Linked DNA regions of Stegostoma tigrinum. The protein of the gene in region 1 purifies or fractionates together with the protein of each later gene. This does not show direct contact. Links are inferred from orthologs where the notes say so. Each region holds a gene or a part of one and is shown in the gene's direction. Other genes may lie near its edges. The genes, in order: rbm8a, upf2, ncbp3 and upf1.

What was found.
Region 2: the proteins of rbm8a (region 1) and upf2 purify together in Homo sapiens (co-immunoprecipitation; 6 studies listed by BioGRID and IntAct, with this or other methods). This does not show direct contact. The link is inferred for Stegostoma tigrinum from reciprocal best matches to the Homo sapiens genes RBM8A and UPF2.
Region 3: the proteins of rbm8a (region 1) and ncbp3 purify together in Homo sapiens (co-immunoprecipitation; 3 studies listed by BioGRID and IntAct, with this or other methods). This does not show direct contact. The link is inferred for Stegostoma tigrinum from reciprocal best matches to the Homo sapiens genes RBM8A and NCBP3.
Region 4: the proteins of rbm8a (region 1) and upf1 purify together in Homo sapiens (co-immunoprecipitation; 7 studies listed by BioGRID and IntAct, with this or other methods). This does not show direct contact. The link is inferred for Stegostoma tigrinum from reciprocal best matches to the Homo sapiens genes RBM8A and UPF1.

Annotation. Positions count from the first base shown.
Region 1 is NC_081400.1:7,593,234-7,601,181, reverse strand, and holds the start of rbm8a (RNA-binding protein 8A), read left to right. Parts: upstream 1-4,938; 5' UTR 4,939-5,006; coding exon 5,007-5,073; intron 5,074-7,948.
Region 2 is NC_081378.1:5,626,405-5,633,617, forward strand, and holds the start of upf2 (regulator of nonsense transcripts 2), read left to right. Parts: upstream 1-4,207; 5' UTR 4,208-4,343; intron 4,344-4,399; exon of another isoform or gene 4,400-4,517; intron 4,518-6,086; 5' UTR 6,087-6,176; intron 6,177-7,009; 5' UTR 7,010-7,118; intron 7,119-7,213. UniProt on the Homo sapiens protein: Involved in nonsense-mediated decay (NMD) of mRNAs containing premature stop codons by associating with the nuclear exon junction complex (EJC).
Region 3 is NC_081380.1:46,787,968-46,795,893, forward strand, and holds the start of ncbp3 (nuclear cap-binding protein subunit 3), read left to right. Parts: upstream 1-4,922; 5' UTR 4,923-4,975; coding exon 4,976-5,143; intron 5,144-7,926. UniProt on the Homo sapiens protein: Associates with NCBP1/CBP80 to form an alternative cap-binding complex (CBC) which plays a key role in mRNA export. NCBP3 serves as adapter protein linking the capped RNAs (m7GpppG-capped RNA) to NCBP1/CBP80.
Region 4 is NC_081383.1:306,498-314,133, forward strand, and holds the start of upf1 (regulator of nonsense transcripts 1), read left to right. Parts: upstream 1-4,619; 5' UTR 4,620-4,869; coding exon 4,870-5,040; intron 5,041-7,636. UniProt on the Homo sapiens protein: RNA-dependent helicase required for nonsense-mediated decay (NMD) of aberrant mRNAs containing premature stop codons and modulates the expression level of normal mRNAs.

The DNA of each region.
Region 1 (7,948 bases):
GCATTACAACTGAGATGATTGAACCAGTCAGGGGTGGGTTTTGGGGACAGGGTGCCTGAGACCAGAGGACACGGTCTCTGAATGCAAGCAGGTCATTTAAGAGGTGTGGAAGAATTTCTTCACTCTGTGGGGCTGTGTTTGGAATTCTTATCCCCAGAGGGCTGAGGAGGTTCGACCTTTGAGCAGGTTCAAGCCAGAGATCCATAGCTTTCCAGGGATTAAAGATCTGGAGGCTTTATGGGCAGAGTGTGGAATAGCAGCATTGAGATAGAAGATCAGCCATGATCTTGTTGACTGGCAGAGCAGATTTGAGGGGTGAAATGACTTTCCTTGTTCCTGCATCACCCTGTCCACAGTGACCCACACGGACAAATATCACATACACTAAGCCCTTACACCCAGATGTAAGCAATTCTGACAATATCACTGGAGCTGTCAATCTGCACCATTTTTGCAGGCTATCCTGACATGCCTTATTCTCTGCTGGAATTTTGACAGGACTGACCTCGTCACCTCTCACTCTGATCCACTTATTACTTCTGACTTGGCTGAATTTATACACTACACAACTTGTACCGAAGCCAGCGTTTTAGATTAAAAAGCAGTATTATATGTTTGATACATGGTGACTGATAGCTCACTACTTTGCACCTAGCCATTTGATCAAATAAAATTTTTATTGGATTCCTGGGTGTCCTTTCTGTGTTGAAAGCTTGCTTCGCTGTTTGGGCCTGGCCCACTTCCGAGAGGAGCCTGCCCTTACAATCCAGCCTTCCAGGTCAGCCATTCCAGACGCACATGCATGAGTTTGTTTTACACACACACTCACATGCGTCTCCCTCAGCGACTCGCAGACACACACACACACACACACACACACCCGCATATTTTAGTCCCCCATGATTGTTGTAATAGTGCCTTCCTTACATACCTTGTCTATCTCCTTACTTATTTGCGTCCCCACATACTAACTACAGCCAGGAGCCTGAAAATATTTCCCATCAGGGTCTCTTTTCCTAAGTTCTACCCATACAGATTCTGTGCCTCCCAACTCTATACCACTTCTTCTGTACCAATTTAATTTAATTTAATTTCTTACTAACAAGGCAGCCTCACCCCTACTGCCCATCGGCTTGTCCTTTTGATAGGATGTGCATCCTTGGATATTTAGTTTGCACCCACGTCTCTGAGATACCCACAACATTCTACCTGTCATTTTCAATCTGCACTACAAACTCATGTAGCTTGTTTCATGTATTGTGTGCATTTTATGTACAATACTCTTAGTCCTACATTGACACCCTCACTGTACTTGTTCCCTTACCTGCTGAGCCTGAAGTTTGATTCCTGCCCATTCCACACTCTCCATCCTATTACTTGTTCTGGCAAGTTTAATAACCTCTGTTGAGCCCTCCCCTCTTTAAGATTATCCAAAATTTTCCATACAATTTAGTATCCCTCCCTCGCTCCCCCACCACCATACTTCAAGTGGAGCCCATCCCATTGAAACAGCTCCCTCCTTCCCAATACTGGTGCTAATGGCCCATGAATTCAATATTTCCCACACCAATCTTTCAGCCACGTGTTTAACTCTTTAATCTTGTCGACCCTGTGCCAATTAGCTCATGGCTCAGGTAGTCATCCAGAGATGATTGCCTTTTTGGTTCTGCTTTAATTTAGACCCTAGCTGCTCATGTTCCCTCAGCAGAAGCTCTTTCCACTTTCTGCTTGTATTGTTGGTACCGACGTGGACCACGACAACAGGATCCTTCCCCTCCTCTGCAGCCCAGATGAGAAATCCTGAATCTGGGCACCAGGCAGGTAACGGAGCCTTCAGGACTCTCGATCCTGGCCACAGAAAACCGTGTCTATTCCCCTGATGATACGTATCTGTGTTTAAAACTGAATTTCTCTTTTCTTGCCCTTCTTGAATGGCTTGCAGTACTGTAGTGCGAGTTTGCTCATCTTCCCTACAGCCCCCACTCTTGACATGCAGGGAGCAAGAATCTCAAACTTGTTGGACAAGCTCAACTGCTGAGGCTCCTTCAGCACAACCTCCCAGATCCCTTGACCTGTCTCACCCATTGCATACCCTTCTGTCCTTGAAAGAATTTGAGGTAGTTAATCTAGGGGGTGTGACTGCCTCCAGCATCCAGGTAAATCTTATCCCCCTCCCTGATGTGTAGCAGTGTTCATAGCTCAGACTCTAGCTCCATGAGTCTGAGCCTGAGTTCCTCAGAATGTGGTCATTACTAGCGACATTGAGATCCCCCAGCTTCCACAGCATGCAATTATAAAACATCACCTGGCCTGGCACCTTAGTTTTTAATTTGATTTTTCAAAAATATTTCATGCTGCCCTTTGGGTTTGTTGCCTGTAAAACTTCTATCTGAAAGTGATGTATAATAGTCAAATCAGTAGCTAGCACCAATCAATGATTTTACCTGTGATTTCACTCTTTTGTGCTGGCCCCCTGATCCTGGGCTTTAATTTATCCTGATTAAAATAAAACTTAAACCAAGAACCAACAAAAAGCAAGCAAACAGCATCTCAGCCAAGGATTGGCAGATGGAATTTAATCTAGATAAATGTAAGGTGTTGTATTATGGTAGGGGAAATCTAGGCAGGAGTTGTACACTTAATGATAAGGTCCTGGGGCATGTTGCTGAACAAAGAGACCTTGGAGTGCAGGTTCATAGCTCCTTGAAAGTGGAGTTGCAGGTGGACAGGGCGGTGAAGAAGCTGTTTGGCACACTTGCCTTTATGGGTCAGTGCGTTGAGTATAGGGAGTTGGGAGGGTCATGTTGCAGCTGTACAGGACATTGGTTAGGCCACTTTTGTCATACTGCATTCAATTCTCGTCTCCCTGCTGGAGGAAAGCTGTCAGATGTTAGGGTTCATAAAAGATTTACAAGAATGTTGCCAGGGTCGAGCTATGTGGAGAAGCTGTTTAGGCTGGGGCTATTTTCCCAGGGGGGGCTGGAGACGGAGGGATGATCTTAAAGAGGTTTATAAAATCATGAGGGGCATGGATAGGTTGAATACTCAAGGTCTTTCCACCAGGGTAGGGTGGTCCTAAACTAGAGAGACATAGGTTTAAGGTAAGAGGGGGGAAGATTTGAAAGGGACCTGCGGGGCAACATTTTCACACAGAGGGTGGTTGCGTAGACAGAACAAGCTGCCAGAGGAAGTGGTGGAGGCTGATACAATTACAACATTAAAAAGACATCTGGATGAGTAAAATAAATAGGAAGGATTTACTGAGATGTGGGCCAAGTGGTGGAAAATGGGATTAGATTAATTGAGGATATCTGATGGGCATCTGGCTGACTGGTTGGACTGAAGGGTCTGTTTCCACGCTGTATATCTCTGTGGCTCAACGTGAGACCCAGTACAGAACCCAAGGAGATGCCAGTCATGAGTCAATTGTCCGGGTCTGTTCTGTACAAATGAACTGGACCAACTAGCACCCCATTGGTCTACTCCTGTTCATTAGGGAGGGGGGGATTTTGAAGCTTGTGAAATGCACATTGATACCATTGGGCTGCAAGGTTCCGAAGCGGAATATGAATTTCTGTTCCTGCAACCTTCGGGTGGCATCATTATTGGCACTGCAGGAGGCCCAGGATGGACATGTTGTCTGAAGAGTGGGAAGGGGACTTGAAGTGGTTTGCGACTGGGAGGTGCAGCGATTTATTGCGAACCGAGCGTAGGTGTTCTGCAAAGTGGTCCCCAAGCCTCGTTTTGGTTGCCCTGATGTAGAGGAGGCCACAACGGGTACAGCGGATGCAGTACACCATATTAGCAGATGTACAGGTGAACATCTGCTTGATGTGGAAGGTCTTCTTGGGGCCTGGGATGGGGGTGAGGTGTGGGGGCAGGTGTAGCATTTGCCGCGGTGGCAGGGAAAAGTGCCAGGTGTGGTAGGGTTGGAGGGGAGTGTGGAGCAGACAAGGGAGTCGCGGAGAGAGCGGTCTCTCCGGAAGGCAGACAAGGGTGGGGATGGAAAAATGTCTTGGGTGGTGGGGTCGGATTGTAGATGGCGGAAGTGTCGGAGGATGATGCGTTGTATCCGGAGGTTGGTGGGGTGGGACATGAGGACGAGGGGTATTCTGTTTGATTGTTATTGCAGGGATGGGGTGTGAGGGATGAGTTGCAGGAAATGCGGGGGACACGATCGAGGGCATTCTCAACCACTGCGGGGGGGAGGTTACGGTCCTTGAAGAACGTGGACATCTGGGATGTGCAGGAGTGGAATGCCTCATTCCTGGGAGCAGATGCGGCGGAGGCAGAGGAATTGGGAATAGGGGATGGAATTTTTGCAGGAGGGTGGGTGGGAGGAGGTGTATTCTAGGTAGCTGTGGGAGTCGGTGGGCTTGAAATGGACATCAGTTTCTAGCTGGTTGCCTGAGATAGAGACTGAGAGGTCCAGGAATGTGCTGGAGATGGCCCAGGTGAACTGAAGGTTGGGCTGGAAGGTGTTGGTGAAGTGGATGAACTGTTTGAGCTCCTGTGGGGAGCAAGAGGCGGCGCCGACACAGTCATCAATGTAACGGAGGAAGAGGTGGGATTTGGGGCCTGTGTAGGTGCGGAAGAGGGACAGTTCCACGTAACCTACAAAGAGGCAGGCATAGCTGGGGCCCATGCGGGTGCCCATGGCCACCCCCTTAGTCTGTAGGAAGTGGGAGGAATCGAAAGAGAAGTTGTTGAGGGTGAGGAGAAGTTAAGCTAAGCGGATGAGGGTGTTAGTGGTGAGCCTGGCCCATGTGAGGAGTTGATACTTCACTGAGTTGAAGTGGAGCAGCATATTAGTGTGGACTAACCCATCCTCAACGCCATCTTGGGTCTGGACAAGGTCGTGGGAACCAAAGCCTCAACGCGCAGGCGTCGGCATCGGCGTCAACGCCATCGCGTCATGCACGCCTACCGGAAACAACGTCAGTGCCCCACCCCCATAGAACACCGCACCTCCCCGCCCCCTCCCCAGAATCCATTGCGGCGGCAAGATGGCGGACGTGTTGGATCTTCATGAGGCGGGAGGCGAGGACTTCGCCATGGACGATGAGGGTGACGGTAAATAAAACACCTTCCCGCTCCTCCGCAGTGTCACCGACAGCCAAAGACTCCGGATTCATACCGGCCCTGCCCCGCTCCCCCTTCCGCCTGAGTCCACCCCCCCACACTGTCCCAATGAGACTCCATCCCCCCCCACACTGTCCCAATGAGACTCCATCCCCCCCCCCACACTGTCCCAATGAGACTCCATCCCCCCCCCACACTGTCCCAATGAGACTCCATCCCCCCCCACACTGTCCCAATGAGACTCCATTCCCCCCCCACACTGTCCCAATGAGACTCCATCCCCCCCCCACACTGTCCCAATGAGACTCCATTCCCCCCCCACACTGTCCCAATGAGACTCCATCCCCCCCCCACACTGTCCCAATGAGACTCCATCCCCCCCCACACTGTCCCAATGAGACTCCATTCCCCCCCCACACTGTCCCAATGAGACTCCATTCCCCCCCCACACTGTCCCAATGAGACTCCATCCCCCCCCACACTGTCCCAATGAGACTCCATCCCCCCCTCAGACTGTCCCAATGAGACTTGATCTCCCTGACGTTGGATGCCTTCAAGGCAGAGATCGACAAATTCTTGGTGCCACAAGGAATCAAGGGCCACGGGGAGAGTGCAAGTACGTGGAGTTGAAATGCCCATCAGCCATGATTTAAATGGCTGATGGGCCGAATGGCCTTACTTCCACTCCTATGTCTTATGGTCTTATGGACCCTGTCCCAATGAGACTCCTTCTCCCCTCGCTCCCAATGAGACGCGATCTCTCTCCTCACGCTGTCCCAATGAGACTCGACCCTGTCCTAATGAGACTCGATCCCCTGACCCGGTCCTAATGAGACTCGATCTCCTGACCCTGTCCCAATGAGACTCGACCCCTCCCCACACTGCCCCAATGAGACTCGGTATCTCCCCTCGCAGTATCCCAATGAGACTTGATCCCCCTGACCCTGTCCCAATGAGACTCGATCTCTCCCCTCACAGTGTCCCAATGAGACTCGATCCCCCGACCCTGTCCCAATGAGACTCAATCTGTCCCCTCACATTTTCCCAGTGAGACTCGATTCCCCCACACACATGCGCGCACACTGCCCAGCAAGCCTCCATCTCCCTGACCCTCTCCCAATGAGACTCGATCCCCCGATCCTGTCCCAGTTAGGCTCAATCTCTTCCCCCCCCCACACTGTCCCAGTGAGACTCGATCCCTCCCACACTGACCCAGTGAGACTCGATCACCCCCCCCCACACTCTTATGCGCACACTGTCCCAATGAGACTCAGTCCCCCTGACCCTGTCCCATTGAGAGCCTTAATCCCTCCACACTACCCCAATGTGAATCAATCCTCTGACCCTGTGATAATGGGAACTGCAGATGCTGGAGAATCCAAGATAACAAAGTGTGGAGCTGGATGAACACAGAAGGCCAAGCAGCATCTCAGGAGCACAAAAGCTGATGTTTCGACGAAGGGTCGAGGCCCGAAACGTCAGCTTTTGTGCTCCTGAGATGCTGCTTGGCCTGCTGTGTTCATCCAGCTCCACACTTTGTTATCTTCAATCCTCTGACCCTCTTTGGTTGACACTTGATCCCCTAGACTCATCCCAAAGACAGTTGACCCCCCCAACACTGTCCAATGAGAGCCAATACCCCTGACCTTGTCCTTATGAGAATCTATCCCTCCCATACTCTCCCAATGAGACTCGATCCCCTCCACACTGTCCCAATGAGACTTGATCTTTCAACTGTATCCCAAAGAGCCGTTTCACCCCAACCCTAAAAGGGAATTGATGCACCTGACCCTCTGTCTATGAGAGTCAATTCACCCTGATCCTGTCCCAATGGGAATTAATTCCCGATTTTCTGAAAGAGAGTCCATCACGTGACCATGTCCCTATGGGAATCAATCCGCCCTGACCCTGTCCCAATGTGAGTTGATCCCCCGATACTGTTCCAATGAGATTTGATCATGAAGTAAATACAGTTTGATTCATCTGCTTTACCCCATTCTCTGCTGTGCTTTTGCCTGTCTTTCTATTTAACTCGCTTCCTCTAATTCCAGCCATCCTCGGCCATCATTTGTTTTGTTGCTAGTGCTTAGGATCCTCCCACCCTTCCTCCATTCTAGTTTAAAGCGTCCCAATAGTAACACGAGCAAATATCCCTTCTCCAAGTTTAGTTGGATTTTTGGAAAGCTTTCAATAAGATCCCGTATAAGAGATTAGCATGTAAAATTAAAGTGCCTGGAATTGGGGGCATGTACTGATATGAATGGAGAACTGAATGGCAGACAGCAAGCAAGGAGCAGGAATAATTGAGTTTTTTTTTCAAGTGGCAAGCAGTGATGTGTGATAAGGTTCGGTGCTTGGACTGCAGTTTTTCACAATATATATTAATGATTTGGGTAAAGGAATAAAATGTAACATCTGTAGCCTGCAGATGAGACAAAGCAAGTTGGGAAGGTGAACTGTGAGGAGGATGCGGAGATGCTTCAGTGTGATTAGGACAGCATTGAGTGAGTGGGAGATGCTTGAGCGATGAAATGTAATCGAGATAAATCTGAGGCTATGCACTCTGGCAGCAAAAACAGGGTGGGAGATAATGTATTCTCCGAATTGTGATAGATGACGAAGGGGGGAGGTGTGAGAAGAACTGGATGGCCTTTTGCACTCGTCGCTGAAAGTAAGCATTTCAGGAACAACAGGCAGCGAAAGAGGCAAATGGTGTGATGGCCTTCATAGCAAGAGGATTCAAGTACAGGAGGGATGTCTTGCTGCAGTTGTACATGGCCTTGGTGAAACTACATCTGGAGTATTGGGTGCAGTGTGGCCTCTGTATCTCAGGAAGGACTTCCTGGTTATGGAAGGAGTGCAGTGA
Region 2 (7,213 bases), on another chromosome or scaffold:
GTTAGGGAGGCAGAGACAGGTTGGACTGGTTTTGGGATGCAGTGGGTGGGGGGGAAGAGCTGGGCTGGTTGTGTGGTGCAGTGGGGGGAGGGGACGAACTAGGCTGGTTTAGGGATGCAGTAGGGGAAGGGGAGATTTTGAAACTGGTGAAGTCCACATTGATACCATTAGGCTGCAGGGTTCCCAGGCGGAATATGAGTTGCTGTTCCTGCAACCTTCGGGTGGCATCATTGTGGCAGTGCAGGAGGCCCATGATGGACATGTCATCTAAAGAATGGGAGGGGGAGTGGAAATGGTTTGCGACTGGGAGGTGCAGTTGTTTGTTGCGAACTGAGCGGAGGTGTTCTGCAAAGCGGTCTCCAAGCCTCCGCTTGGTTTCCCCAATGTAGAGGAAGCCGCACCGGGTACAATGGATGCAGTATACCACATTGGCAGATGTGCAGGTGAACCTTTGCTTAATGTGGAAAGTCATCTTGGGGCCTGGGATAGGGGTGAGGGAGGAGGTGTGGGGGCAAGTGTAGCATTTCCTGCGGTTGCAGGGGAAGGTGCCGGGTGTGGTGGGGTTGGAGGGCAGTGTGGAGCGAACAAGGGAGTCACGGAGAGAGTGGTCTCTCCGGAAAGCAGACAGGGGTGGGGATGGAAAAATGTCTTGGGTGGTGGGGTCGGATTGTAAATGGCGAAAGTGTCGGAGGATGATGCGTTGTATCCGGAGGTTGGTAGGGTGGTGTGTGAGAACGAGGGGGATCCTCTTAGGGCGGTTGTGGCGGGGGCGGGGTGTGAGGGATGTGTTGCGGGAAATACAGGAGACGCGGTCAAGGGCGTTCTCGATCACTGTGGGGGGAAAGTTGCGGTCCTTAAAGAACTTGGACATCTGGGATGTGCGGGAGTGGAATGTCTTATCGTGGGAGCAGATGCGGCGGAGGCGGAGGAATTGGGAATAGGGGATGGAATTTTTGCAGGAGGGTGGGTGGGAGGAGGTGTATTCTAGGTCCACTGTGGGAGTCGGTGGGCTTGAAATGGACATCAGTTACAAGCTGGTTGCCTGAGATGGAGACTGAGAGGTCCAGGAAGGTGAGGGATGTGCTGGAGATGGCCCAGGTGAACTGAAGGTTGGGGTGGAAGGTGTTGGTGAAGTGGATGAACTGTTCGAGCTCCTCTGGGGAGCAAGAGGCGGCGCCGATACAGTCATCAATGTACCGGAGGAAGAGGTGGAGTTTGGGGCCTGTGTACGTGCGGAAGAGGGACTGTTCCACGTAACCTACAAAGAGGCAGGCATAGCTGGGGCCCATGGCCACCCCCTTAGTCTGTAGGAAGTGGGAGGAGTCAAAAGAGAAGTTGTTGAGGGTGAGGACGAGTTCAGCTAGGCGGATAAGAGTGTCGGTGGAGGGGGACTGGTCGGGCCTGCGGGACTCCTCCCACTGCAGCCTAATGGTATCAATGTGGACTTCACCAGTTTCAAAATCTCCCCTTCCCCTACTGCATCCCTAAACCAGCCCAGTTCGTCCCCTCCCCCCACTGCACCACACAACCAGCCCAGCTCTTCCCCCCCACCCACTGCGTCCCAAAACCAGTCCAACCTGTCTCTGCCTCCCTAACCGGTTCTTCCTCTCACCCATCCCTTCCTCCCACCCCAAGCCGCACCCCCATTTACCTACTAACCTCATCCCACCTCCTTGACCTGTCCGTCTTCCCTGGACTGACCTATCCCCTCCCTACCTCCCCACCTATACTCTCTCCACCTATCTTCTTTACTCTCCATCTTCGGTCCGCCTCCCCCTCTCTCCCTATTTATTCCAGTTCCCTCTCCCCATCCCCCTCTCTGATGAAGGGTCTAGGCCCGAAACGTCAGCTTTTGTGCTCCTGAGATGCTGCTTGGCCTGCTGTGTTCATCCAGCCTCACATTTTATTATCTTGGAATTCTCCAGCATCTGCAGTTCCCATTATCTCAGGTGTCCAAATGCTTTGTCAAAGATTTGATTTTAACAGAGGAAAGAGAAACAGAGGAGTTAAAAGGAGGAATCCTAGTGCCAAGAACCAGTTGAAGGCATGATTGTCAATGGGAAAGTAGTTAAAATCAGGGTTACTTAATAGGCCAGAAGTGGAGAGTCAGGGCTGCAGAACTGGAAGAAATTTTGGAGAAATGGAAGAGCTTGATCACGGAGGAATTTGAAATTCATGACTGGAACTTTAAAACTGCGGCAATGCTTGACTAAAAGCCTGTCAGTTGAGCTTCTCTCCTCCCCTCTCACACTCCCTTGCCCCTCATACATACCTTACCCCTCCTCTCACCCTCCTTCACAACTACTGCCTCTACCCTTACATCTGCCTATCAAAACACCTCCCCCGATGCTATGAGGCAGCATGGTGGCTCAGTGGTTAGCACTGCAGCCTCACAGCGCCAGGGACCCAGGTTTGATTCCCGCCTCGGGCGACTGTCCATGTGGAGTTTGCACATTCTCCCCGTATCTGCGTGGGTTTCCTCTGGGTGCTCCGGTTTCCTCCCACAGTCCAAAGATGCGCAGGCTAGGTGGATTGGCCATGCTAAATTGCCCGTAGTGTTCAGGGGTGTGTGGGTTATAGGGGGATGGGTCTGGGTGGGATGCTTCAAGGGACGGTGTGGGCTCATTGGGCCGAAGGGCCTGTTTCCACACTGTAGGGAATCTAATCTAATCTAATCTAACTTCTGCTCTCCTACGCTAAACTGTCTTCCTCCTTCACATCCCGTCCCACCTCACTCTCTCCCTCCCTAATTCATCACTAATTCCCGTTTCTCCATGCTGCTGCCCAAGTCCCCCTCCCCCAATTGCCTAACACCTCTGCAGTCCTCATTCCCACTAGCCTGCTCCAGCCACACACTCTCTCCTCCACTTCCCCTCACAATATCCTAGACCTCTCACTCTCCTCCTAATCTCCTCCCTATCACTCAACTCCACTCCTTCTGCACTACCTCCCATTCCACCATCCCAATAACACACACCCCCTCATCCTCCTACCACCTCCTGTATCTTCCTTATCACTTACAGCCCTCCCCCACCATCTCCCCCTCCCCTCCAACCTTCCTGCTTCCCCTTCATCTTCTCCATCTACCTTCTATCTCATCCTATCCTCTCCCTTCACCTGCCCCTCCCCTATCCACCCATCTGCCCTGCATTGTCTTATCTTCCTCCCATACTCATCCTCCCCTCAGTCCACGCATTCCAACCCCTCCCTTCCATCCCCCACACCATCTCCATCCTCCCTTCCACCCCCTATCCTATCCTGTTCCCCCCACCCCCCTATCCTATTCCCACGCCCCCGTCCCTATCTCCCCCTATCCTATTCCCACCCCCCGGTCAATATACCCCTATTCTATTCCCACCATCCTATTCCCACCATCTTATTCCCTTCCTGGTTCCTATTCCCACCATTGAATTACCCCTGGTCCCTATTCCCCCTGTCCTATTGTTCCCCCTATCTTATTGCCCTGGTCCCTAATGCCCCCTATCTTATTGCCCTGGTCCCTATTGCCCCCCTGGTGTCTATTGCCCCCTGTCCCTAATGCCCCCTATCTTATTGCCCTGGTCCCTATTGCCCCCCTGGTGTCTATTGCCCCCTGTCCCTAATGCCCCCTATCTTATTGCCCTGGTCCCTATTGCCCCCCTGGTGTCTAATGCCCCCTGTCCCTAATGCCCCCTATCTTATTGCCCTGGTCCCTATTGCCCCCCTGGTGTCTAATGCCCCCTGTCCCTAATGCCCCCTATCTTATTGCCCTGGTCCCTATTGCCCCCCTGGTGTCTAATGCCCCCTGTCCCTAATGCCCCCTATCTTATTGCCCTGGTCCCAATTGCCCCCCCTATTTTATTACCCCCAGTCCCTATTGCCCCCCCATCCTATTGCCCTGGTCCCTATTGCCCCCAGTCCCTAATGCCCCCTATCTTATTGCCCTGGTCCCTATTGCCCCCCTGGTGTCTAATGCCCCCTGTCCCTAATGCCCCCTATCTTATTGCCCTGGTCCCAATTGCCCCCCTATTTTATTACCCCCAGTCCCTATTGCCCCCCCATCCTATTGCCCTGGTCCCTATTGCCCCCAGTCCCTATTGCCCCCCTGGTGTCTATTACCCCCGCTCCCTATTGCCCTCCTCTGCGCCCCCCCCGCGTCTGGCAGATGCTGGGGGGGGGGGGCGGAGTCAGGGGGCTTCCCTGACGCCTCTAGCCCTATTGAGCGCCTGTCTCTCGTGGAGAGAGATAGAGAGAGAAATCAAACGGCGGCGGCTGTCTATCGCCAGTGAGCCTGACATCCTGCTGCCGCCCCCCCTCGATGCGATACGAGCAGCAGCCTATGTTTTTGTCGTGACCGTGCGCAGGTGCTGGTCAGGCGGCTGTCGGGTCAGGCCGTGCAGGCGGGGTCCTGATACTGGGGCGGTGGGGGGAGGGGAGGCGGAGGTTGGTGTCAGTTCCGCCGCTGTCGGCTCTCCGTGTGCCCGCTTCGAACTGCAGCCTGGCCCGTTCCCTATCACCCGGGACACCTCCGGGAGCCGGTAACTGCGCCTTTCCGCAGCGGGACACCCGGCTCTGTGCGATCTCTCTCTGTCTCTCTCTCTGTGACTTTCCGCTGCCAGTGGCTGTGGCCCCCGGGGCCTGTGCCATCCGTCACCCGGAGCCAGGGCTCTCACCAAATCACCGTCTCTCCCCCCCCCCCCCAACAACCCACCACCCAGCTCCAGGTGTGCGTGGGGTTCCTCTCCCCTCTCCACTTTTCCTTGCCCTCTTTTCCCCCTTGCCCTCTTTTCCCCCTTGCCCTCTTTTCCCCCTTGCCCTCTTTTCCCCCTTGCCCTCTTTGCCCCCTTGCCCTCTTTGCCCCCTTGCCCCCTTGCCCTCTTTGCCCCCTTGCCCCCTTGCCCTCTTTGCCCCCTTGCCCTCTTTGCCCCCTTGCCCTCTTTGCCCCCTTGCCCTCTTTGCCCCCTTGCCCTCTTTGCCCCCTTGCCCTCTTTGCCCCCTTGCCCTCTTTTCCCCCTTGCCCTCTTTGCCCTCTTTGCCCTTTGCCCCCTTTGCCCCCTTTGCCCTCTTTTGCCCCCTTTACCCTTTCTCCTCTCCCCTCCCTCACTTCCCAATCTCTATCCACTGGATTTGGGAAGACCTGCCCTCAATTTCTAAGTTTCCCACTGCATCCCATCACACTCAACCTGAATAGTTATTTTGATATTGACTCCTTCCTCTTCATTCTAGATTTTTCCAGGGTAATACCATTGCCCTTTGCTCATCTACAGTGTGTTTAATCAATGCTGTGGTTAATGGACTTTCAAAAGTATGGGGAAATGTCGTATTTTCTGATCACAATATCTGACCCCCTCACCTTCATTTTTATATCACCCACAATTTGAATGGCCTTATTCTGCTCCAAAGCTTATGGTCTCTAAACAGAAACTGACCCATTTTGAAGCCATTGGTATTGGGTTTTGGGTCCAGTGCAACTTGTTTATGTTATAGTATTTTGCAGTAAATATTTAGGTAATAAACACATCCTGTGTTTCCTGTTTATTATAGAATGGAGAGGTGTCAAATGAAACCAACTATTGAGTGTTGTTCACTAAAATCACATACAGAACTGCTAATGCTGGAGATAAGGTTTGGGAGCATCTGTGAAAAGAAAACAAGGTTAATCTTTCAAGGGTCGCAAGACTCAAAAGTTAACCCTGTTTTTCTCTTTGCGATGCTGGACCTCCTGAGTTATTCCAGCGATTTGTTTTCTTTGCCTTTGTATTCTTCACCATCGTTTTAATGTAATGTTATGACTGGTATGGGATTTTGAAGTAAAAACATAAGGGATGTTTAAATGAGCTGATTTTAACTTTTAAATTCTAATATAATGGGAAATTTTATTGAAAATGTAATGTTGATAGATATATATGGTGAGCTATATACATTGTTCCTTAAGCAAATTAGTATTACTATTTATTTTAGTCTACTTATAATATTTTGTATTCAAAAGATACTTGTGTTGAGGAAACCATGCATTAATTTTTCTATTAAAGTAGGATAACAATTTGATTTTGGAGCATGAATTTCTTTGAATTAAACAAAAGTGACATAATGTCTTGTCCTTGCAGAATTGTGGTGAGCTACACTGAGGCAGCCATTTTACCTACTCAGTTCCTTCTGAGACTAATCTTATGACTTGACGGATACGCTGGTATAAGGTAGGATTTGATACCACAGTAGTTGAGAGAACAGAAGTTGTTTTCAACTGGAATTGACACCTGCGGTAGTTGTGACCTTGTATTTCCTTGCACAACATCACTGGCTTGATAGTTGGTTAAAAAATGTGAAGAATCCCATTTGTTTTTAGAGTCTCAGAATTTATAAAGCTGGGACGGCTAATCATCAAGTTGTGCTGACTGTAGGAGCTTGCCAACTGTTCAGTTTCTTTGCGTACTTTAAATGCTTTCCCCATCTCTTTCAAATGTCAGCATGGGTTCGGGTTCTGCACTGTTTCTGGTCAAACATTCTATTCCCTTATAATTCTCTGTCTAAAGTAGTCCTCCTGACCACCTTTGTTTTATTTGTGAAGATCTTGAAATTGATGCTTTTATGTTGAAACTCACCAACCAATGGAAATTATTCCCAGTCCTCCACTCAAGACCTTGTTGACTTCTGTGTGTCCTATTCTTGGTTAATATTCTCTAGTTTTTTTTGTGAGACTTTTTAAAACCACAGTATATTTAGGTGTTGTTATTATAGGATGAAAAAATCCAAGAACTGGAATGGTTTCAAAATTTGGTTCTTTGCATCATCATCACAATGAAACAATTTTACTAAATTATAGCAACCAGAATCAGCAGACCTTGCTGCCTTTGATCTGTTTGTTCAGAGGCCAATTTTAATATACCTAGAAATGATTTTTGTCAAAGCTTGTGCTCGAAAACATATTACTGATTTCATAATGTGCATAAATGTGATCTTGCCTGTTTCCATATATGGTGACAATGATATGACCTGTACATCGAAATTAAACTGCATTTTATAATTTTAGAGTGCACTGGACTCCCCTGGATTTGACAACAGGCAATTGTTACCTGATGAAGTGTGCCTAGTTTACTGGAATGTGGTGTTAAACACTTGAAGCTTTCTACCTTCTCCTGGTAAGTTATCTTCCAGATCAGATTCAGTCCTTGGGTTGACCTCACAGTTAGGATGGCAAAGTTAGCCGTCACAACAATGTTTCTCATGTGTTTAG
Region 3 (7,926 bases), on another chromosome or scaffold:
TACACCCCAAACCCTCCTCCAATACACCCCAAACACTCCCCAAATACACGCCAAACGCTCCCCAATACACCCCAAACACTCCCCCAAATACACCCCAAACACTCCCCCAATACACCCCAAACACTCCTGAAATACACCCCAAACACTCCCCAATACACCCCAAACACTCCCCCAAATACACCCCAAACACTCCCCAATACATCCCAAACACTCCCCCAATACACCCCACTCCCAAATAAACCCTAAGCACTCCCCCAAATACACTCCGAACACTGCCAAATATACCCTAAACAATCCCCCAAATATACCCTAAACACTCCTCCAGTACACCCCAAACACTCCCCCAATACACCCCAAACAGTCCCCCCAGTACACCCAAACACCTCGAATAAACCTTAAACACTCCCCCAAATATACCCCCAACAATCCCAAATAAACCCCAAACACTCCCCCAAATATACCCCAAACACTCCCGAATAAACCCCAAACACTCCCCCCAGTACACACCAAACACTCTCGAATAAACCTTAAACACTCCCCCAAATATACCCCAAACACTCCCAAATAAACCCTGAACACTCCCCCAAATATACCCTAAACACTCCCCCAGTACACCTCAAACACTCCCCCAATACACCCCAAACAGTCCCCCAATACACCCCACTCCCAAATAAACCCCAAACACTCCCCCCAGTACACCCAAACACTCTCGAATAAACCTTAAACACTCCCCCAAATACACCCCAAACACTCCCTAATAAACCCCACACACTCCCCCCAGTACACCCAAACACTCTCGAATAAACCTTAAACACTCCCCCAAATACACCCCAAACACTCCCCCAATTACACCCCAAACACTCCCCCAAATACACCCCAAACACCACCCCAATACACCCCAAACATTCCCACAATAAACCCCAAACATTCCCACAATAAACCCCAAACATTCCCCTGAACACATCCCACACACTCCACGAATACACCCGAAACATTCCCCCAGTACACCCCAAAAATTCCTAACAAAACCCCATGACAGGAGGTTTGAAGCCTCATGCCTCGATAACAGGCCATTACCCCTGCACAGGGTCAGTGCAGTCTCAGGCATCGTGGGTATGGCCTGTGCTGTAGGAATGTCCTTCTTACTCCACCAGGGTCAGCACCTCTACCTTCTCCCTGACACCTCACACTCACTCAATCTTGCTGTCAACCGAGTCTGGCCCCTGGCACCACTCACGCTGTATGCCCGCTGCACCGAAGACTCCACCTCTCACTGCGCCAGCAGTATAAGCCATCCAACACATCTCCCTTTATCGATGCCAGTCCCTCAGTCCAGACAGCCACGATCGGACACAGCCTGGACAGCTGTTTGGCTGTCTGGCCTGTATCCTGATCCTGACCCTGACCACCCCGGCTGGATGACCAAACATCTCTAAAGCCCTCAGCCTGGCACCAGAAGCTATCCAAGCCTTTACTGTGCCAGGGGCCCCTGAGCTGAAGGAGGTCTCTCGGGATGCAGCCGATAACCATCCCAGGCCTCCCAGCTTTGTGTCTGTGCTAAAGGTGAAGTCCTGTACAGGATGAAGTCAGGAATGCGATGGAATACTCCCCACGTTCCCTGGATTGGGGCAGCTCCAACAACACAGGGTGGCACGGTGGCTCAGTGGTTAGCACTGCAGCCTCACAACGCCAGGGACTCAGGTTCGATTCCAGCATCAGGCGACTGTCTGTGTGTGGAGTTTGCACATTCTCCCCGTGTCTGCGTGGTTTTCCTCCGGGTGCTCCGGTTTCCTCCAACAGCCCAAAGATGTGCAGGCTAGGTGGATTGGCCATGGGAAATTGCCCGTAGTGTTCAGGGGTGTGTGGGTTATAGGGGATGGGTCTGGGTGGGACGCTCTTCAAGGGGCAGTGTGGACTTGTTGGGCCGAAGGGCCTGTTTCCACACTGGAGGGAATCTAATCTAATCTAAAAACACTCAAGAAGCTTGGCACCCTCCAGGACAAAGCAACCGCTTGATTGGCCTCACACCCACAAACACCCACTCCCCCCGCCACCGACACTCAGTAGCAGCAGTGTGTACCATCCCTAAGATGTACTGCAGAAATTCACCAAAGATCCTCAGGCAGCATTTTGATTGATTTGTTATCATCACATGTACTGAGATACAGTGAAAAGTATTGTTTTGTATGCTCTGCAGGCATCAGGGTAGCCGTACAAGAGTGCAGGATAGTGTTACTGCCACAGGGAAAGTGCGGAGAGAGATCAATATCAATATTTCATAAGTCTTCTTCAAAAATCTGATAAAAGCAGGGAAGGAGCTGTTCTTCAATCTGTTGGTACACGTGTACAAACTTTTATGTCTTCTGCCCGACAGAAAAGGGTAGGAGGTATAACCGGGGTGAGATGACCTTTGTTTATGCCAGTTGCCTTCCCGAGGCAGTGAAAAGTATTGATGGAGTCCGTGGATGGGAGGCTGGTTTGCACCGTGGACTGTAGTTCCTGGTGGTTTCGGGAAGAGGAGTTGCCATACCAGATTGCATCCACTTAGGATGCTCAATGTGGTGCAGCAACGCAAACTGGTAAGGTGTCTTTATAGACGTGGTGAATTTCCCTAGCCTCCTCAGGAAGTACAGGCTTTGCTGTGCTTTCTTCACCAAAAAGCATCAACACGGATGGACCAGGACACACTGATGGAACTTGATGCTTTCAACCATATGCAAACAGAGGCATGCCCTCCACTCTGCTTCCTGAAGTCAATGACCAGCTCCTTTGTTTTGCAGACACTGATGTACAGAGTCTTGACTTTACACCACGCCATTAAACACTTTACCTCCTGCTTGTACTTCTTTGCATCACTGTTCCCAATTCCACCTATAATGGTGGCGTCATCGGCAAACTTATAAAAGGATTTGGTGTGGAATCTGGCCACACAAGTGTGTGTCTCAGTATAGTAGGGGGCTGAGTACACACCCTTACAGGGCAGCAGTTTTGAGGATGGTCAGCTCTGCTTACTAACTGCAGTCCGTTGGTCAGCAAGTTGAGAATCCAGTTACAGAGGGAAGAGCAGACACCTTGGACCTGGAGTTTGGAGAGGAGTTTGTTTGGAATTATGGTGTTGGAAGGCAGAGCTGTAATCAATAAGAAGCTTGTCCTGGGTATCCCTCCTTGTCCAAATGTTCCAGTATTCACAGTCTGCCTTGGAGAGTTGCACCAGTAGGCCATCTACAAGGGATCAAGATTACATGGGGGAGGCTAGAGGTAATTTAAGCTATGTCCAGCTTCATAATTACCAATGTCAGAGCACCAACCAGGAGTCATTGGGGCATGCTGCACCAGTTTTCTTTGGCACTGAGATGATGGCAGTCTTCTTAAAGCAGGTTGGGACTTCAGATCACAGTAGAGAGGTTGAAGATGTCTGTGAATACTCCTGACAGGATTCACACCATTCTGCTAGAATTTGGTTTTACCTCATAGAATCATCCAGTACAGAAGAGGCTCTTTGGCCCATCAAAAATTTGCTACAACCTATACTAGGCCTATAACTTTGAATGCAATGATATTTCAACTGCTCATTCATGTAGTTTTTAAAGGTTTGAACTTCCACCTCAACTACCCTCCCAAAGTGCTTTCCAGTCCCGCACCATCCTCTGGGTGAAAAGGTTTTCCTCAAATCACCTCAAAGCCCCTTGTGTGTAACTTTATAATTATGCATCCTCATTGTCGACCTTTCAACCCTACTTTCTATTCATTCAGAGATAGTAAAAACTGCCGATGCTGGAGTCAGTGAAAACACAGGTGGAGCTGGAGGAACACAGCAGGCCAGGCAGCATCAGAGGAGCAGGAAAGTTGACTTGAGATAATGGGAACTGTAGAAGGGTCCATGCCCAAAACGTCAGCTTTCCTGCTCCTAAGATGCTGCTTGGCCTGCTGTGTTCATCCAGCTCCACACCTTGTTATCTAAGAAAGTTGGTCTATTGGGTTGGGACCCTTCAAATGGGGCTCGAAATGTCAACTTTCCTGCTCTTCTGATGCTGCCTGGCCTGCTGTGTTCCTCTAGCTCCATGCTGCATTATATCTGCTTTCTATTCATTCTATTCACACCCCTCAATCTTATAGACCACCACCGAGTGCCCCCTTGACCTTCTGTGGCCAGCCTTATTACTGATTCAGCTCCACTGTCCTCAAGCAGAAGCCAATGTCCTTCTTTGTCAGGGTTCAATATTCAGGAAACTTGTCCAGCTCAATTCCATACCTTCCCACAATTGCAAACCTTCATGATCTTGAGAAAAATCTCATCATTTATAGATCTTTCGACAAGACTTTCAAAATGTATGACCATGACCAATCTAGAAGCTTAAGGGTAGGAGATGCATGGGAACACTACCGTCTGAAAGCTCGCCTCCAAGCTACTCACCATTTGTCTTGGATATATATCGCTGTTTCTTCACAGTTGTTGGGTCAAAATCCTGGAATTCACTCCCTAATAACATTGTGTGTTGTGTCAGCCCACAGCACATTGACGGCAGTCATTAAAAAAGGCAGCTCACCAGCACCATCTCAACGGGCAACTAGGGATGGGCAATAAATGCTGGGGCCAGCCAGCAATGCCCACATCCCACTAGACAATTCAGGAATAATGCCAGGTGGCTGAGGTTTTGGATGGCTTGAAAAGGGCACTAATCATGGGCAGTGAAAGTTTGGAGAGTGTTGGATTGGGAAACTGTCCTGATGGAAGCTTGGGTCAGGCTCAGTGCCAACTCATGGGGCAAAGGGTGGCACTTGATTGATTTGACATTCCAGCTGGAGGGGGCAGTTACTCTCCAGGCCGCAGGGAGGCGCTGCGATCCGCTCACTGCAAACTACGGCGAGCTGAGTAATCTCTTGCCGCGCGTTGCACTCCTCAGCATTGGATGGTACGCCGGCCGTGGCGGCAGGTGGCACCTCTTGCCTTTCCCTCGGCGACTCCTTGTTTGTCATGGCGGCGGTGCGGGGCCTGCGGGTCTGTTTGGAGCCTGGGCCTGGGGCAGAGGGGGCCGCCAGCACCGAGAGGGATGACGAGCCCATGGAGGTGGAGGAGGGGGAGATCGAGCCCGAGAGGCTGGACACCATCTCAGTGCGGAGGTCGCTCAAGGACCTGATCCCGGTGAGGAGAGGCCCAGGCCTCGGGCCCGGGTTTGGGGGGGGGGCGGGAATCACAAAGGCCTCGGAGAGGTTAGAGTGAGGAGGGAAGGACAGGGTCAGTGCTGAGGGAGCGGGCACTGTCGGAGGGTCAGTGCTGAGGGAGAGGGCACTGTCGGAGGGTCAGTGCTGAGGGAGCGGGCACTGTCGGAGGGTCAGTGCTGAGGGAGCGGGCACTGTTGGAGGGTCAGTGCTGAGGGAGTGGGCACTGTCGGAGGGTCAGTGCTGAGGGAGTGGGCACTGTCGGAGGGTCAGTGCTGAGGGAGTGGGCACTGTCGGAGGGTCAGTGCTGAGGGAGTGGGCACTGTCGGAGGGTCAGTGCTGAGGGAGCGGGCACTGTCGGAGGGTCAGTGCTGAGGGAGTGGGCACTGTCGGAGGGTCAGTGCTGAGGGAGCGGGCACTGTCGGAGGGTCAGTGCTGAGGGAGTGGGCACTGTCGGAGGGTCAGTGCTGAGGGAGTGGGCACTGTCGGAGGGTCAGTGCTGAGGGAGTGGGCACTGTCGGAGGGTCAGTGCTGAGGGAGTGGGCACTGTCGGAGGGTCAGTGCTGAGGGAGCGGGCACTGTCGGAGGGTCAGTGCTGAGGGAGCGGGCACTGTCGGAGGGTCAGTGCTGAGGGAGCGGGCACTGTCGGAGGGTCAGTGCTGAGGGAGTGGGCACTGTCGGAGGGTCAGTGCTGAGGGAGTGGGCACTGTCGGAGGGTCAGTGCTGAGGGAGCGCCTCACTGTCGGAGGGTCAGTGCTGAGGGAGTGGGCACTGTCGGGGGGTCAGTGCTGAGGGAGTGGGCACTGTCGGAGGGTCAGTGCTGAGGGAGTGGGCACTGTCGGAGGGTCAGTGCTGAGGGAGTGGGCACTGTCGGAGGGTCAGTGCTGAGGGAGTGGGCACTGTCGGACGGTCAGTGCTGAGGGAGTGGGCACTGTCGGAGGGTCAGTGCTGAGGGAGTGGGCACTGTCGGAGGGTCAGTGCTGAGGGAGTGGGCGCTGTCCCCTCCGAAGCCTCTGTTTTGACTGAGTGAGACAAATAATAACTTTTCCGGTGAAATTCTCAGTGGCCTCGCTCCGGATGAGCACTTTTTCTGGGGATTTTCGCACTGGCAGTTTGGGATGTGGATTTGTGGACACTCTGCGTATCGTGCGTTGCAACAGCAGCTTCACCCTCGCAATGAAATTGTGGAAATAGCTAATTTTACTCTGTTCTGTTGTCATGTTTTTATCTTCTGGTTTTGTAATGCTGATTGGCTGGGGCTGTGGTGGCTATCTGGGCATGAGCTGAGGCATTGGCTACTTTAAAATATGCCAAACTGAGCTCCTGTTTTGGGTGGAGATTGTTGAAAAGTGTTTAGTTTGGTAAGTGTAATGTTGTCTGGGTGCTGCTGGTGACTTTATGGTGTTGGTTCCCAAGCTGATGATCTCTCCATCAGAGGGACTTCAAATCATGTTTTGATCTGTTGACAACTCAGAAATCAAGGTTGATTAACTCCCACCAAGCACTGACCCCTTGTATCCCACACTGTCTGACCTGCATTGGCTCGTGTTCGAGCAGCAGTGCGTTTTCAAAATTTTCATCCTCCTTTGTGAACTCATCCGTGGCTTTGCCTCTCATCATCTGTACGATTTCCCTCAGCACCACACAGCTCCAAGATCTCTGCTCCTGCAGTTTTGGCCTCGACTGGGAACGTCCTGAGTTCAATCCCTCCCTCATTGGCTGCTGTACCTTCAGCTACCTGCGCTCTGAGCTCCGTAACTTTCTCCTTAAATCCCTCAGCTTCATTCTGTTCCTCTTTAAGATGCCTGTTAAAACTGCCTTTGACCACAGTTCTGACCTGCTATCTCTTTGTGGCTCAGTGTCATACTTGTATTTTGTAATGCTCATATGAAGTTCCTTGTGATGTTTTGGAGCAGTAACTGAAGGTAGATGTAAGTTATTGCTGATTACTGGGAATAGTTTAAAACTCTGTACTCATCTGCCAAGTTACAAGACACCTTGGTTTTATTACATCCAGCAACTTAAGACCATAAGACATAGAAGTGGAAGTAAAGCCATTCGGCCCATCAGGTCCACTCCGCCATTTAAATCATGGCTGATGGCCATTTCAACACCACTTCCCTGCACTCTCCCTGCAGCCCTTGATTCCTTTTGAGATCAAGAATTTGTCGATCTCTGCCTTGAAGGCATCCAATGTTCCGGCCTCCACTGCACTCTGTGGCAATGAATTCCACAAGGCCACCACTCTCTGGCTGAAGAAATGTCGTCTCATTTCAGTTTTAAATTTACCCCCTCTAATTTTAAGGCTGTGCCCATGGGTCCTAGTCTCCCCACCTACGGAAACAACTTCCTAGCGTCCACCCCTTCTAAGCCATACATTATCTTGTAAGTTTCTATTAGATCTCCCCTCAACCTTCTAAACTCTAATGAGTACAATCCCAGGATCCTTAGCCGTTCATCATTCGTTAAACCTACCATTCCAGGGATCATCCATGTGAATCTCCGCTGGACACGCTCCAGGGCTAGTATGTCCTTGTGTGTTAATGCTTTTAATGCTCATTGCCTTCTCCTTTGTATCCATACCCTGATTCCAGTTTACTCCCAGAGTTTCCCTAACAAACATGTAAAGAAATGAAAGATAAGCCAGTATAAAGCCAATTTTTGAACCTTCATATTTTTATATCCACTAGCGCTCCTTCATGTTCTTTTTGTAGACGGGGTTGTTAAGGGATTTAGAATGCTTACCTTTGCTCAGATCTTTGAGTC
Region 4 (7,636 bases), on another chromosome or scaffold:
TCATCTTCGATAGCCAGAGACTTTTCCCCAGGGCAGGATTGACTGCCATGAGGGGTCATAGTTTTAAGGTGTTAGGGGAAAGGTATAGAGGAGACGTCAGAGGCAGGTTCTTCACCCAGAGAGTTGTGAGCGCGTGGAATAGTTTACCAGTGGTAGTCATGGAAGCACAGTCATTAGTGACATTTAAGCGACTGCTGGACATGCACATGGACAGCAGTGAATTGAGGGGAATGTAGGTTAGTTTATTTTATTTTTGGATTAGGATTATTCCACGGCACAACATCATGGGCCGAAGGGCCTGTACTGTGCTGTACTTTTCTATGTTCTATGTTCTATCTACAAACTTGGAAATATTACATTTGGTCCCTATATTTGAATCGTTGATATAGATTGTGAAAAGCAGAGATCCATGCATTGATCCTTGAGGTACCCCAATAGACATTGCCAATTTGAGAGTGACCCACCTGTCTCTCCCTGCTCCTCATCTTCTTTTTACATACGTATAATAGCTTTACAATCCATGTTTATATTTCTTACTAGCTTATGTTCACAATTATTCCCTTTCTTTATCCATTAAAATTAATGAGAAAAATAATCACCAATTAAACAACTGCTGGTTTTCCTGTGTTATCCCATTTTGATTTTTTTTCCTCAACTCAGTCAGTCCACATTGCAGCCAGACTAAACTGGATTGGATGTTGCACCACGCTGTTCTGTTCACATTCTTGCCTCTCACGCTATTCATGCCGCCACCCTCACGCTGTTCACATCCACTCCACACCACGTCCCCCACACACTGGTCCTTTTCATTCACTGCAACCCCACTTTACCTCTGTTCCTGTCTAACCACTTGGCATTCACACCCTTCTACCTGAGTTAACATGATGTTTGACATGGCGGATCTCATGCAGGTGGTAGTGTTCCCAAGCATCTGCTGCCATTATCTTTCTATAAGTAATAGGGGGTGGGTTTCTAAGGTATTGTCAAAGAAGGCTTGGTGAGGTGTGGCAGTTCATCTTTCATTTGATTTGATTTATCGTTGTCGCATGTATCTAAGTGCAAAAGTTGTGAGTAGTACAGGTAAATGATAGCAAACAAGGATATACAGATCATAGACAGAACGAGGCATACAGGTTATGGCTGCACAGAAGGTGCAAAACCAAGGTCAAAACTAGCAAGATAATAAAATGTGAGGCTGGATGAACACAGCAGGCCAAGCAGCATCTCAGGAGCACAAAACTAGCAAGATCAACATTATTTGAAATTAGAGAGGTCCATTCAGCAGTCTAACAACTGCAGGGAAAAAGTTGTTCTTCGACTTGTTGATGTGTGTTCAAGCTTCAGTGTTTTAAATGGTACCAGTCAAGATTATGATGAAATATTCTCTGCTTACCTGGACAAATGTGGCTCCATCAACACTCCAGAAGTTTAACATCATTCAGGGCAAAGCAGCCTGCTTGACTGGCACCCAATCTGACACCTTCAATGTTCACTAGTGACATACCATCTACAGGGTGCACTTCAATAACTGACCAAAAGGTCCTTATTGAAGTGGGGAAACACTCAGCATTGGGTGAGGTTGCAGATGGCTTGGGGAATGCATTGTTCTAGAGGCTTTGATGCTGGGACAGACGTACTGAGAGGTAAGGTGTCAGTGAGACAGGAACACTGAGCCAAGGACATTTTTTTATTGCTTCATGGAATGTGGGCTTTGACTCTTAATTATCTGGCTGAAGACAGATTCTCGAGACCTTTTAACTATTGGTGGACAAAAAAGCAGACCCTGAATCCACCTCAGTTTCAACATGGATTCAATCCAACACTGTTGCTGGCTGATCTACATGTTAGTCATGTAGCCAACAGAATGAACCTGGGTGGGGGAGGAAAGGGAAATAGGGTGAAATTGTGTATGAGCGAGGGAGATGAGGGATTGATGTGGATGAGAGGGTGGTTGAGCAGGAATGATAGGGGTTTGAAGGTGCCCAAGAACTAATGAGCAGGGTGAGGGTTGGGTGAGAGCAGTGAGTGAGGTGATGGTGAAGGTGGCAGTTGGTGTGAAACAATAAATGGTGAGATTGGTCGGGTGTTGAGAGTGGTCAAGGGGATAGGAAGTATTGAATATGCAGGTGGAATGAGGGTTATTTGTTGTGTAGTTGGGGGTGTTTGGTGATTCGGTGAGTGAGATTGAAAGACTGGATTGGTAATGTGGAGGAATGAGGTTTGCAATGTTGGGGTGATGGATGACATAAGGCTGGGTGATGATCATGTGGGTGAGACTGAGGGGTTAGGGAGATAGATGAGAGAGGGATGATATTGGGGATATGGAGTAACTTAGTTTGAGAAACTTGGTCAACATGGGTGTATTGTACTGAAGAATTTGTTTCCATGCTGTATGACTATGTTAAACATGTGGATGCCGGGATGTGAGTGCTGTTGGGGTGGATTACGTGAATCAGGTTAAGTGGGTGAGTGTGGGAGGAGGCTGGGATTTGGGATGATGAAAGGGGGCTAAGGTGGCTGTGGTTGAGTTGGGTGATAGAATGAGGTGTGTTTTGGGTTTGGGTGGGCTGTTTGAGGGAAGTGGGCATGTGGGTGGGCTGGATGTAGTGGAGAGGACTTGGGCTGTGTAAGGGGAAATAGAGGGGTAGCTTTGAGGTTGTAGGCATGAAATGATGGTGCTGTGGGGTATGTTGGTTTGTGTAAAGTGGGGAGTGGGATATTTGAGTGATGGGGAGAGGAGAGGCGGTTTAAGGGCCCTGGGTTATTGGGGATGGGTGTGAGTGGATTTAGAAGTCTGTTTGAGGGTGTTAGAGGACATGAGGAGTGGGAGTGTGAGGGGTCTGTGGGGGTTGGTGGGCTATGAGGAGTTAGGACGTGAGTGGTTGGAGTTGGTGGTGTGTGTCTAGGGAGTTTGGTGAAGTTTGAAGGGGTGTGAACTATGTGGGTGTGAGGGCACCAGTGGGTGTGAGGTGATGAAGTAGGTGGGTTGTGAAGAGATTGTTGGCATATGATAATAAGGGATGTGGGGGGACTGGGGTTGGAAGTGTGAGGGGGTGGGATAACAGGGGGTTAGTGGGGTGATAATAGATGTTGCTGTTGGGGTAGGTGTGGGCTGGTGGTAAGGTTGTTGCGGTGGTTAACATTGTGGAGTGGGAGTGCAGGAAGGTGGGTATATGTGAGGGTAGACAGTTACTGGTCTGTGAGGGGGTTGGTGGTAATAGAGTGCTGGATAGTGGATGTAAGGGGGAGGAGGAGGGGTGGAGATGGGGGTTATAAAGGCATTGGGGGTTGGAAGTGGTGATGGTGGGGACGGTGGTTATGATCTGAGGATGTGGTGATGGTGGGTCCAGGGCTGGGGATAATAGAGTGAGTGTGGAAATGGTGATGCTGGGGGTTAAGGGTGAGGATTGGAGATGGTGGGGATGAGGGTGGGGAGGGGACAGGGTGGTGAGAGTGAGGGTTGGCATGGAGCAGGGTGGTGAGGGTGAGGGTGGGCATGGGACAGGGTGGTGGGGTTGAGGATGGGGCAGGGTGGTGGGGGTGAGGATGGGGATTGGACAGGGTGGTGGGGGTGAGGGTGGGGATGGGACAGGGTGGTGGGGATGAGGGTGGGCATGGGGCAGGGTGGTGGGGGTGAGGGTGGGGATGGGACAGGGTGGTAGGGGTGAGGGTGGGCATGGGGATGGGGCAAGATGATGGGGGTGAGGGTGGGGATGGGGCAAGATGGTGGGGGTGAGGGTAGGCATGGGGCAGGGTGGTTGGGGCGAGAGTGGGGATGGGACAGGGTGGTGGGGCTGAGGGTGGGGATGGGGTTGGGGCAGGGCTGAGGATAATAGGGTGAGTGTGGGAATGGTGATGGTGGGGGTTAAGGGTGAGGATTGGGGATGGTGGGGGTGAGGGTGGGGATGGGACAGGGTGATGGGGGTGAAGCGGGGATGGGGCAGGGTTGTGGGGGTGAGGGTGGTGATGGGGCAGGGTGGGGGGGTGAGGGTGGGGATGGGGAAGGGTGGTTATGGGGCAGGGTGGTGAGGGAGAGGGTGGGGATGGGGCAGGGAGGGGGGTGAGGGTGGGGATGGGGCAGGGTGGGGGGGTGAGGGTGGGGATGGGGAAGGGTGGTGATGGGGCAGGGTGGTGAGGGAGAGGGTGGGGATGGGGCAGGGAGGGGGGTGAGGGTGGGGATGGGGCAGGGTGGGGGGGTGAGGGTGGGGATGGGGCAGGGTGGGGGGGTGAGGGTGGGGATGGGGAAGGCTGGTGATGGGGCAGGGTGGTGAGGGAGAGGGTGGGGATGGGGCAGGGAGGGGGGTGAGGGTGGGGATGGGGCAGGGAGGGGGGTGAGGGTGGGGATGGGGCAGGGTGGGGGGGTGAGGGTGGGGATGGGGAAGGCTGGTGATGGGGCAGGGTGGTGAGGGAGAGGGTGGGGATGGGGCAGGGTGGTGGGGTGGGGCTGAGGGTGGGCATACTGCGTGTGGGAGGGAAGATTGGGTTTGTGGGTGTCGGGGTAAATTTCTCCCGCCCACTCACTTAGCGCCGCTCTCCTGTGGATTACGGCATCGCTTCTTGCTGGCGATGACGTCACCACAGGTCCGGGCGCAATGACGTTTCTGCGTGCGTCACGACGCTGTGTGCACTACGTCAGCGCTGCGGGGGAGTTGCGGCTCTCGCTGGGTTTCTCGGGCCGCTGCCGAGCGATCGATTCCCGAACCCGCGCCTACCGGCCCTTTCGCTGCCCGGCTCCCCGCCGAGTAGGCTCAGCCAAGGCCCGGCCTCGCTTCGCTTCTTCTCATCCGCCCGGCGCGTGCTGCGCAGCGGTTGTTCCCAGGGTTTTGAATCGCGCCGGGGGCGAGTGCGCGCTCCCGAGCCGTGGCCGCCATGAGTGTGGACGCGTACGGGCCGAGCTCTCAGACTCTCACCTTCCTAGACACGGAGGAGGCCGAGCTGCTTGGGGCCGATACGCAGGGCTCCGAGTTCGAGTTCACCGACTTCACTTTACCGTCACAAACACAAACACAAGGCCAGAGCCAAGGGCCCATCGAAGGCCAGGTAAGGAGCGACGGGGCTTCCCGCACTTCCCCCCCCCCCCCCGCAAGGAAAACACGCCAGTCCCAGGCCGCGCGGCCTAAACACAGGATGTACGAACTAGCCCCCTTCCCCACTCGAGCCTACTTTTCCGTGCGGGCTCTGAGTGTAGTCCCTCGTTGCTGCTTCAGCTTCGGCTGTCGGGTTTGTCGGCTAGGACCCACATGGAGGGCAGGAAGCGGAGGCGAGAGGTGGCGAAGGCTGGGCCTTCAAAGGCCCGATTTTTTTTGTGGTGGGTGGGTGTGGGGGTAGTCACTCTTGCTGTCTCCCTGTGTCCCTTCCCTTTCCCCCCACCCGAGCCACACTACCTTCACTCCCGACAGACCTGATATGTCCTTCCTCTTCTCCCCACCCTGTGCAGTACCCCGATGGCACTTAATGCTAGTGGAAGCTGTAATAGATACGATGGGAATATACGGAGTGAGGAGCTGTTGAAGTGTTGGTTGGAGGGAGTAGTGCAAGTGGGCTGCTGGTCTGAGAGAAGGTTGTTGGAATTAAGGGAATGAGGCTGGAGCTCCCTGATATGCTAGATCGATTTTTGTGTTTTGTGTGTAAGTGCTGATGTGAAAATACACAGGATTCTCCACATTCTGATTTCCCTGCTGCTGCTTCTCAACTTCATGAAAATAAGCCCCAATTCAACTGAACTCCTGTTGCCAGCTCCATTGGGTTCATTTTAGTTGACATATGCAACCTGAGGCTTTGGGACAATGATAATTTGGTGAAGTGAAGACCCTCCACCTAACCACCCAAAAGCAGATATCAGGTTGCCACTGTTTTGGAAGTGAGAGAAAACTTGCAAAATACCTGTTCTTGTTTAAAAGTGACAGTTGGTTGCATCAGCAGCAGGAATAAGTGCAATAAAATTCCATGTAAAGATTCTGAGTGACCCACCTTTGGTATTAGAGTATTACTACTCTACAGTGGCCTGAGAGAATAGGCATTGTATAATCCAGAGACGATGAAAATTGCAATAAGTGCAGGTAGGAAGACAAGTTAGATGTTTTGACTTCAACAAGAATTATTGGACTTGTGGGTGAATCATGTATTTGTAGTTTAGTTGTTTTGGCCATTAGAACTTGTGAAGTTGTTGAGGTCAGAGTAAGTCCCCATATACTCGGTCCTCAAAACATCAGGGGTAAAACAACTGAGGGAACAGTTGTGTGGATTTCTAGCGTGGGGTATATTTAGAATTCTTAAAGTTCAGTTGAAGTGGTCGTATGTTTCTCAAAGCTCATGAAAACACCACACTACATTTTATAAGCTAAGTATTTATTTGAACATTATAGTTGAGCCAAAATTACAGTTTGAACCATTTCAATATTGTATTGATGTACCGTGATGCTGGGGTAGTAAATAATGGGCTTGGATTTGAGGCAAGTACTGAATGCTGTTTGTTGTTCTGATGTACTGTCATACCTGTCAAACATTTAATCTCACTGGAAAAATAGCATGTTGAAGGAGCTATGACTTGCATTTAACCACACACCTAAGACAGAGGGTAATGACCAGCATTGCAGCTGTGTGTATTTGTATGTAAATGTACAATATAGAACAGTATAACAGAGGAACAGGCTCTCTGGCCCACAATATTCTGCCAACCATGCTGCTGTCATTAACAAATCCCATCTGCCTGCACAAAGTTCATATTCTGTTATTCATGTGACTGCCTAAATGGTGCTTAAATGTTGCTATCGCATATCCTTCTGTTACCTACTTTGGCAGCGCATTTTGGGTACCTGCCACCTTTTTATAAAAACATTTATTTCGCACCTATCCTTTTAAACTTTCCTCCCTCACCTTAAACCTGTGCGTCCCAGTATTTGACATCCGAATCCTGGGGAAAAAAGACTCTGAGGATTCACTCTATCCATGACTTTCTAATTTTTATATACTTTTATCAAGCCATTGTTTTCCCCCTTCCTACAAAAACTTCGATCCTAACAAAAACAGTTTGTCCTGACCCGAAACGTCAACTTTCCTCTTCTCTGATAATGCTTAGCCTGCTGTGTTCCTCCAGCTCCAAACTGTTATCTCTTGACTTCAGTATCTGCAGTTCTTACTATCTCTGAGTTAAGTTTGGCCAGTCTCTCCTTATACCTAATATACACCAGTCCAGGCAACATCCTGGTAAACCCCTTTTTGCATACTTTCCAAATTCTCAACAGCAATCCTTTTGTGTGGTGACTAAAATTGTGCGCAGTACTCTAAATGTGTGTGTAAGAAGCAGTATAATGCTTCATTAGAAACTTTTTAATTTTGATTCTATGGTTGCAGTTTAGGTTAAGGTGTGCTTATGGACATGTTTTATGTTTGACTGGCAATATGGCAGGGGGCACGTAACCATGTCCAATGAATTATTGTGGGGGGAAAAAAAACTCAGGTTGGTTGTGATGCTTCAAGCTGTTTAAGATATATTCTGTCAGCACAGTCCTGACTCAAAACGTCAACGTTTGTACTACTCTTTTGCCTGGCCTGCTGTGTTCCTCCAGTTCTAAACTGTTGTTATCTCTATCCAGTAACATGGTGTTTTTGGTGACCTCTGCTGGTCAAGGTTAAG